Arabidopsis thaliana: one gene and its partner. The protein of the gene in region 1 interacts with the protein of each later gene in a pairwise test. Each region holds a gene or a part of one and is shown on either strand. Other genes may lie near its edges. The genes, in order: DPBF2 and SNRK2.4.

Region 1 (4,879 bases):
CTAGAAAAATGAAGACCAAAAATATATATATATATATATATATATCTAGTTCACAACCGCAAACTTGAAATTGTCTTGTTTGGCCTCCTAGTATTAAAATTGTATGAAAAATCAATGATGATAATTTATTTTCTTCTTGCCTAAACTATGCTTGTTATGGCTGAAAATAAATGAATTTAAATTTAGCTCAATTGCACATAAATTAAAGGTAATTTCTAGAAGAATTTTGGAGGAAAAACTGAGAATTTAAATGATTATTGATTTTTTTAAAAAATAATTAATTAATTACATAGATTTTTCTTTTCTATTTTGTTTTAAACCATACTAATTAACTCCACGAGAGGAAATTAAAAGAGTGTACAAAAGTAACTTCAGAAACAAAAAGTGTAGAGAATATAGCTAAACAATCCGCCTTAAAATTACATAAACAAGAAATAGAAGAAAAAGAGAAAAAATGAAAGAAAACACGGAATAAATCAAATTATATATACTTATAAAACTTGAATTAAATACTTTTTTGTCAACAATATGAGTTAAATAAAATAATAAGACATTAAATATGAAAGATATTTAATAAATTTATCAAGATAAGGACGAAAATAAGATAAAATTAGTCATATTAATTTTTTGGCTACCTAATTTGAAAATATTGAAAAACTTACCTACTCATATATTAAACATATAATTGGGGTAGAATTTATGCGCACAAATATTCTGTGTAAAACTTTCATATATTTGGTCTAATGAAAACAAATCTTAGATCTAGATCAATTTTCATGAAATAAGACAAAGCTCGCCGTAACGAAGCTTGGCATGACGAAGCTCGGAGAGATGCCGCATAACCCTAGCAGCCACTATATTGAATTAACTATCCAACCTGTTCGCATCTCGGATTTCTAATATTGTATTCACACGAGTTCGAATAACTATTACTTTATAATATTTATTTATTTTAACGTATACAACAGATGGCAGATATCGAGTTAAATATGTGAATCAGCCGTTACGATATTTTAAAACTAGAAAATTATTTAAAAATATTGCAAAATACCATTTAATTTCATTGTTCATAAAAAAAAGAAATTTAAAAACTTAAAAACTGATTCAAAAATTTGGATTAATTATCGTTAACAGTCTTCAACACTACAACAACATGTTTCTAATTTATTTTATATTTTAATAATTAAACAATATATACGTCTGCACATTGTTGCTCCGACATAATCTAGTATAAAAATAGTTGCAGCATATGTGAAAAGCAAGCAGCATTTATTACTCAATACTTATAATTTTATTTGTTGTATGTATTAAGGTTTTGTAGCTTTAAGAAAACGCTTATAATATAAAATAACTTCTAGAAGATATTTCATGCGTATACAATAAATATTTGTGAAAAAACATTTCGAAAACGTGTACAACATATAAACTATTGTGTTATCTTTTGACATTCAAACAAATGTTGACAATGTAATTTTATCCATGATATGATTGGCCAATTAGCTGCGAGGTAAAAATCCGTATACGAGTAAAAGTAAGATAAAATTTCGCAAGAAGAATTTTAGCAGGAAATCTAAGACAAGTGTCATGAACGTGTCAATCAACAAACGAAAAGGAGAATTATAGAATCCAGATTCGACGTACCACATTAATAAATATCAAAACATTTTATGTTATTTTATTTTTGCTCTGGCAGTTACACTCTTTTTCATTGCTCCAATAAAAAAATACTCGCATGCATGCATATATATACACCATAGTAAACTCCGCCTCTTCTTCATTTTAAAAGTATCAGTTTACACTGACACAATCCTTAACTATTTTCCTTTGTTCTTCTTCATCTTTATTACACATTTTTTTCAAGGTAACAAATAATCTTTTTAAGTCACTTTTATACTCTTTAAATCTTAGATTGATATATGAATGCATGTTAATATTTCAAGATTTATAGGTCTACCAAACGATGTCGGTTTTCGAATCGGAGACTTCGAACTTCCACGTCTACAACAACCACGAAATCCAAACGCAACCGCAAATGCAAACGTTTCTGTCGGAGGAGGAACCGGTAGGGAGACAGAACTCGATTTTGTCACTAACTCTTGACGAAATTCAGATGAAAAGCGGTAAGAGCTTTGGAGCGATGAACATGGACGAGTTCCTAGCGAACTTGTGGACAACCGTTGAAGAAAACGACAACGAAGGAGGTGGGGCTCACAACGACGGAGAGAAGCCGGCGGTGCTGCCACGTCAAGGGTCGTTGTCCCTCCCTGTGCCTTTATGCAAGAAAACGGTCGACGAGGTTTGGCTCGAGATACAAAACGGTGTACAACAACATCCACCGTCGTCGAATTCCGGTCAAAACTCCGCCGAAAATATTCGCCGGCAACAAACCCTTGGTGAGATCACTCTCGAGGATTTTCTTGTTAAGGCTGGTGTTGTACAAGAACCGTTGAAGACAACGATGAGGATGTCGAGTTCTGATTTTGGTTATAACCCCGAGTTTGGAGTTGGTTTACATTGTCAGAACCAAAACAATTATGGTGATAACCGGTCGGTTTATAGTGAAAACCGACCGTTTTACTCGGTTTTGGGAGAATCTTCAAGCTGTATGACCGGGAATGGGAGGAGTAATCAGTATCTGACCGGTTTAGATGCTTTTCGGATCAAGAAACGGATAATTGATGGTCCACCTGAAATTTTGATGGAGCGGAGACAACGGCGAATGATTAAAAACCGCGAATCTGCGGCTCGGTCTCGAGCCCGGAGACAAGTAAGTCGGAGTTTGGACCACAATATATAGGAACTGTGTTTTGTATAACATGACTATAGGGGCCATTGGTTAAATCCGGTTTGAAAATTTATTTTTTTTGGCCAAGTTAGAGTTAGAGACTAATTTGGGTTTCACTCTTTATAGGCTTATACTGTGGAACTGGAGTTGGAATTGAACAACCTCACGGAAGAAAACACGAAGCTGAAGGAAATTGTGGTAATTTCTTGATAAAACATTATTTATAACGACTAATATAAGCTATTAAGCTATGATTCATATTTGGAAAACAATATCCTAGTAACCATTTTCAATTTAATACTTTTTGCTAGGAGGAAAATGAGAAGAAAAGAAGACAAGAGGTAATACTCCAATTTCCATATGTACTAAAACGGTTACTTAACGAATATGAATTATCAAAATACATCATTTTGGATTTATGTGTGATATTGTTGGATTCAAAGTTGACAATATCGTTATCTAACAAATATAGCTTAAATGATAATAAGTTAATAACTAAGCTGTGATGGGTTAGTGGTTTTTATTTGAAGTATGAACTTTCATTATAAATTAAGATAGAAATTGATTTTTTCAAGTGATCTTCTACTTCACAATTTAGCGACCATAAAGTTTATATAATTTTAGTTTTTTAAAAGAAAGAAGTTGATCTCTGTGGTTAAAAATATAAATAAAATAAATTAATGAAATGGCATGCAGATAATAAGTAGAAGCAAACAAGTGACTAAAGAGAAGAGCGGAGACAAATTGAGAAAGATTCGGAGGATGGCCAGTGCCGGGTGGTAAATAGATATGAGAGTTTGTGTAATTTACATATGATATTTTATTGATCGTTTCTATCTATACACATAAATATTTGTATCTATATTATATTTTGAGACAAACATGGAATTTGTGTATATAGGATCATTTCTTTTTATATATACTCATAAATCATAATCGCCAGATTTAGTTTCTATGTTTTCTTCATCTTTCTCCGATGCTGAAATTACATCGTTTAATCCGATAATTTTAATCATGTGTTAGACTGTGAGTGTAGATGAAAATTTTGAAGATATTAGAATACACCACTTGCTTTAAGCACATGTTATACAACATACCGAATTATTTCTGTATACACAAGCTGGAAATATTTCATCTCCACTTCTTGATTCTCACATAGTAATTTTCTGAAAAATGCCCTTACATCATTTCCAGAAGCCACAAAACAAAGACCACATTATAGTTATTGAACCTTTTTTTGTTTTTGTTTTGGTCGTCTGCTATATTATCTTCAAAGATATTTTGAAACAATTTTATTACACATGATGATCGATCACGATTTATATATCCCAGGATACAACCGATCACGAACTAATACCCAAACACACTATAACTCAAGCGAACTTAATCTACGATATGTTTTCGAAACTACTAAAATAAAAACTTACTTTTAAGAAGCAAGAGAGAAGCGAGACTTTAAAACTTAGAGTGTTTTGTGTTTGTGAGAAATAATGAGAGACTTGGTCTCTTTATATATAGTAGAGAGAGGTAGGATTTGTGAGAATATTCTCAGGATATGGAATATTTTGAGAATATGGAGTATTTTCGTAAGATTCAACCCAACAAGCCCAATAACTCACAAGCATAACGGTCCACAAACCCGACAGTCCTCGAGTCGACGACGTGACAATTCGCTAACCCGCAATCGGGCTCAGCCAAGTTCGGTTCGATTTGGTTCGGTCCGGTTTGGTCCAAGTTTCCCACTTCACACCCTTATTTCTCATTCAATACAACTTCGTTTTTAACGTATGAGTATACCATCTTGTAGTACTCTTTACCAGCCTTCCATTGCACTAACAACCCGACAATTCCGTTTAACCGTTTAAACGAAATTTGGCTGGAAAGTTACCGAAAAACTATTATGTCAAAAAAGTTGCAACATCCACGACGTGCATCTCTCCCCACAACAATTGGATCATCTATTGACGGTTCTTCCTTGCACCATACCAGCATCTCACCCCACAACACTTGGATCATCTATTGACGATTGTTCCTTGCACCATACCAGCGATGAACAATCTTACATCTAACACTCGAGAACACGACTGACGGTTC
Region 2 (5,450 bases), on another chromosome or scaffold:
AATATGTACAACAGACGTGAAACATACCCATAAAAAATTCGAACCAGTAGCTAGATTCAATGGCATCTTTAAAATGCTTGACCTTAGCTTCATCGAGTTCAAGCGGACAGATGACACTTCTCTCGACATTCTCTGTGGAAAAAACAGAAAAGGTATTGTAACTAGAGAATAAGTACGAATGTACGATAACTGTTAACTAGTATGAAAAAGAAGCTTGTATAAGAATTGAAACGTACTCATGAATTTTATCGCAATCTCACTGTCAATCAGCTCATTTCCACCTAGAACTTCACCAAGACCACCCCATTTGTGAACATTGTTTCCAGATGGGCGGCAAAATGGAAGACTGTAATAGTTGTATGTTTCTTGTGGATTGTTATATGGGCCAACTTTGTTTACCCATAGGGTGACCTGCTCCTCGGCTTGATACTGAAAAAGGTGAAGGCAAAAAAAATTGACTTGACAGAAAAGCACAGAAATGTAAAAGTTTATGGGATTAACTAGTAAGAGAGAGTAAGAACCAAAATTCCATTAGAGAGAACAGAACAAAATGTCAAACGTAGACAGACAGATACTGATAAAGGCTACGTTCAATATCATTTCAAAAATCAGGAGTTAAAGTCTTCACACAAATGATGGTTCCATAGAAATAATGGCTCTTGAATAATGCTACCAGATTGCTCTTGAATAATGCATAACCCGCCTTTATCTATCATCTTTCACGCAGAAAATATATAGTTGGAATCGACTTTAAATGTCACACTACTTGCGAGCGTAAGAAGGCAGAGGAGCAAAAGCATTAAAGCTAGATCTCATGATCTCCAATATCACAAAAGGCAATAACAATTTTGAGCTGAAACTGACCATCAGCAAAAGAAGCCATGTGTGACACTTTCAGTATCACATTTTAGATACCAATTGAAAAAAATCATCAACCCGACCTCGGAACTATAAGATCTACATCTCGAAGATGCTAATACATTAAATGCCACTCAATTACAACACAACTCAGTGTTGATCCAAGTATTTGAACATCAAACAGGCTACCACGTGCAGAAATCAACGAGAATCTCAAACCAACATCAAAATTTCTTATTAAAATCGAGATTGTGAAAAGCCTAAATCACAATGAATAGACAAAATACGCCTAGACTTGCAACGAAAAGATACGCCTAAATCACAATGAATAGAAGCTCGAGGATCCTAGCAATCCGTAAACGAACAGATCCATGAAAAAAAATTCAATCGCAAACACCATGCAAATCACGGATCTACGGACACAGTGCTCGATTTCGAGCTGCATTAAAAGAAAAGAAAAAACGACTGGAGATCCGAGTCTTACCTTGTGATCTGAATCGGATGCGAACGTAGGAGTGAGAAGGGAAACGAGAAGAAGGAACACGAGGACGGCGGCGGAGGAGGAAGACGGCATCGTGAAAACCGGCGGACGATCAGATCTGAGGAAGGACGGAGCGAGAGATACCAATCGAGAGAGAGCGAGATCCTCAGCTCAGTGTTTTCACTTTGTAGAGATTTTGGGTAATACAAAAACAACGATAAGGCTTACAACTTCTTTTTTGCTCTATTAATTAATTGGGCTTGTAGTACTAAGAAACGTATATTAAGTTTAAAACCCATATAAGGTCTTTTAATGTTTGCTCTATTAATTGATTGGGCCTTTCGTTCTAACAAGTGTATATTAGTTTAGCGGCCCATATAAGGTCTATTAATGTTTTCATATACGCGCACGAACTATGTCATTTCAATTAAAATATACACTCACACATGGGAACATAACTTCTTCTTTTTTTGTATATATGTTGAAAAATGTTAAAAGTAGATGAAAATCATGACATAAATTCATTAAAAGGTTACGTTTGAGTGACAATCTTCATAGAGAAAAATGTGATTTATGGACAATGACTCTCTCTATATAGAACCAAAAGAATCTAAGGCGAATTTGCTTGCTGCTGACCACTCGTGTCGTGTAAATAGTGTATAGTTGAAGTGTTGAATTAGGGAGAAAAAAAGCGCGTTGGTGACAAAAAAAAACGTAGTTATACACTCGAATCAGCAAGGGAAACAAACATGTATGGATCGCATGGAAACTTGTGGGTCCCTCTTTCTTTTAAAAAATCTCGTATTAATTAAATAAATGGAAAAAAAAACATGATGGGAGTTTGTTTAGGCAGGGGAGATTCTTCTTCATTCTCATCATTATTTCTCTATTAATTTCACCCCAAAAAAGAAAAAAGAAAAATTCCAACAAGAAAAAAAAAAGAAAAAGAAAGTTGATTCTTCGCTTAGGCTTGAAATCTCTCCAATCCAAATCTCAAATTAACCTTCCATCGTCATCTCTTTCCCTTTTTTTTTCCCACTTTCTTTGCGAATCGCGAGATCTCGGAATCGCATCCTTGATTTTGGGATACTGTTTTTTTTTTTTTTAATCTTGTTTCATTTTCACGTGAAATTCTTAGCTGCTAGAACTGGACTTGAATTTCAACGAGAATTTTGGAGATTTTTTTTTTGTTTGGGTTTTTCCTTTCTGTTTTGTGTGTTTGGAATTAGGGTTGTCGAGCGAGAATGGACAAGTACGAGCTGGTGAAAGACATAGGTGCTGGGAATTTTGGAGTTGCCAGGCTCATGAAGGTCAAAAACTCTAAGGAACTTGTTGCCATGAAGTACATCGAGCGTGGTCCTAAGGTATATTCCTCTCTGTTTTTGTGTTTTCATTGCTCTCCATGAGCTGGTGATCCTATACCCAGATATGCATAATTGGAATGAATTGCTATTAAGCAGAAGAGTCGATTTTTTTTTGTAAATTTCTTATCGTTAGCTGATTGGGTGTTTAACGTAACGTTAGTTATCTTGTAGTTGTAATATTTTTCCTGAAAAGATTTGTACAATGAGTATTTGCTTTGTTTGTTTTTTTTGATACAGATTGATGAGAATGTGGCAAGAGAGATCATTAATCACAGATCACTTCGCCATCCGAATATAATCCGGTTCAAGGAGGTTAGTGAATTTCTTGTTGCTTGACATGGGTGGTGTTCTTGCTATGAAAAAGTTTGTTGATAATCTCTTATATCTTTCATCTTGCATTCCTTGTTGGGTTTATGGATTTTATAGGTGGTGTTGACTCCAACCCATCTTGCCATTGCCATGGAATATGCTGCTGGTGGTGAACTATTCGAGCGTATATGCAGTGCTGGAAGATTTAGTGAGGATGAGGTGAGCTTGCCATTTGAAAAATTGTGCTGTGCTTTTGCGAATATGAAATTACTAGTATTTAGGATAATCTGCATGGTCTTTGGAAAGATTAGGAGGAAGGGAACAAGAGAAAACATGTGAACCTCCTTTTATTTAGTATCAGGCATTAAACAGTTAGGGTCTACGTTCTAATCCTTTCTCTCTTTTCCAGGCGAGATATTTCTTCCAGCAGCTTATATCAGGTGTTAGCTATTGCCATGCTATGGTAATGTAGAGACAATGACTTAAGCAAAATTTACTTATCCATTGGCTGTTTGAAGTCGTTTTTTTTTAATCATGTGTTGACTATTTTGTTGCAGCAAATATGCCATAGAGATCTGAAGCTCGAGAATACGCTCTTGGATGGAAGTCCTGCTCCACGTCTGAAAATCTGTGATTTTGGTTATTCCAAGGTCTGACACTAAAAAAAAATCCAAGTTCCCCCCTTGTCGACGAGATCCTCTTTTGTGATTTGTTATTCTCTTTTTTTTAGTCCTCTCTGCTGCACTCTAGGCCCAAATCAACAGTTGGAACTCCAGCATATATTGCACCTGAGGTCCTTTCTCGAAGAGAATATGATGGCAAGGTAATCAAGCATCATGCACAATGCAATGAACTTCCATAAACCCATGAGTATTTATGATATTGTCATGCTCTTTACATTTTTACTTTTGAATTTAAAAAGTCATCTTTGTGGAAGTCGCTAAGATTTGAAGCATTTTTTCTTCTTTCAGATGGCTGATGTATGGTCTTGTGGTGTGACTCTTTATGTCATGCTGGTTGGAGCATACCCATTTGAAGACCAGGAAGACCCCAAGAACTTCAGGAAAACAATACAAGTAGGTTTCTTTTTTGAAGCCATGTATCTGCATATCTCGCTTTCGCCACATCCTATTCGTCAATGTGTGATCTTGTTATACAGAAAATAATGGCTGTCCAGTACAAGATCCCGGACTACGTCCATATCTCACAGGATTGTAAAAATCTCCTTTCCCGTATATTTGTCGCCAATTCACTCAAGGTATACATCAATCAACTGAACTAAATGTTTTCAAAGATGCCTTTTGATTTTTCTGAACAATTGAGCTACTTGTTGTTTCGTAGAGGATCACCATTGCAGAAATCAAGAAACATTCATGGTTCCTAAAGAATTTGCCAAGGGAACTCACAGAGACAGCTCAAGCTGCATATTTCAAGAAAGAGAACCCAACCTTCTCCCTTCAGACCGTTGAAGAGATCATGAAGATAGTGGCTGACGCCAAAACACCGCCTCCTGTTTCCCGATCCATCGGAGGTTTTGGCTGGGGAGGAAATGGGGATGCAGATGGAAAAGAGGAAGATGCAGAAGACGTGGAGGAGGAAGAGGAGGAGGTGGAAGAAGAGGAAGACGATGAGGATGAATACGATAAGACTGTAAAGGAAGTACACGCAAGTGGAGAAGTGAGAATAAGTTGATATTTTGGTTTTTGGTCTGTGTAAGAAAGAAGTCGTCGTTGGTTTGTTGAAACTGAAAAGTCTCTGTTCTCGTGTTTGCCTTTACAATGCTTTGGCTAAGGTTTTGGTTCTGGTTTTGGAGATTTGTAAAATTTGCAGTATAAGATGAACAAACAGAGAGGTTGATGATGAGAATGAGTCCTTTGCTACGCATGGTACTATGAACATTGTGACCTCCAATAAATATTTTTGTAAATTAGATTTTATTTTCCGAAAAGATTCATGTATTTGATTTTTGGATTTCTTATTTTTATTTTTTTTCGTTCCTTATCATTTTTTTGAAAATGCAAATCTATAAAATACAAATGTCAACAAAAAATCAAATTGAAATGTTCGGAATTCAAAAATAATTGTTTTCTTTTGTTTTTTTGTTTCTGATGCGAAATGTGAATATATTAGAGGGAAAATATCCCGCCATTAGGAAACCGGATAATCTTCTACGGCCTTGAGCTCAAGTCGGTGGTGGCCATTTTATCCTGTGCTTCGTCTCGCCGACTTCCCTGATTGTTTCGCCGCCGGAGTGTTAAAAGCAACGTTACAGAAGCAAGAGACTCCACTGAATCGAAAATGTATTTCCTGGCTTTCGTTTCAAAGTCATTTTTAGGGTTTTCGTTTTGTTCTTTCTCACACCGATTGCGTTTCTTCGTCCTACGAGTGTTAATATTTAGTTGTCGATTAGGGATTTCGTTTCGCATGGGTAAAGATTA

What was found.
Region 2: the proteins of DPBF2 (region 1) and SNRK2.4 interact in a two-hybrid assay, tested with the Arabidopsis thaliana proteins (one large-scale study listed by BioGRID).

The regions. Positions count from the first base shown.
Region 1 is NC_003074.8:16,078,804-16,083,682, reverse strand, and holds DPBF2 (Basic-leucine zipper (bZIP) transcription factor family protein), read left to right. Parts: upstream 1-1,776; 5' UTR 1,777-1,861; intron 1,862-1,948; 5' UTR 1,949-1,960; coding exon 1,961-2,767; intron 2,768-2,911; coding exon 2,912-2,983; intron 2,984-3,096; coding exon 3,097-3,126; intron 3,127-3,481; coding exon 3,482-3,568; 3' UTR 3,569-4,251; downstream 4,252-4,879. UniProt on the Arabidopsis thaliana protein: Could participate in abscisic acid-regulated gene expression during seed development.
Region 2 is NC_003070.9:3,655,304-3,660,753, reverse strand, and holds SNRK2.4 (Protein kinase superfamily protein), read left to right. Parts: upstream 1-2,145; 5' UTR 2,146-2,583; coding exon 2,584-2,703; intron 2,704-2,940; coding exon 2,941-3,015; intron 3,016-3,129; coding exon 3,130-3,231; intron 3,232-3,323; coding exon 3,324-3,347; intron 3,348-3,421; coding exon 3,422-3,475; intron 3,476-3,569; coding exon 3,570-3,662; intron 3,663-3,742; coding exon 3,743-3,835; intron 3,836-3,983; coding exon 3,984-4,088; intron 4,089-4,171; coding exon 4,172-4,270; intron 4,271-4,353; coding exon 4,354-4,704; 3' UTR 4,705-4,941; downstream 4,942-5,450. Other genes in the region: TMN1 (transmembrane nine 1), read right to left, coding at 28-132, 237-429, 1,343-1,432.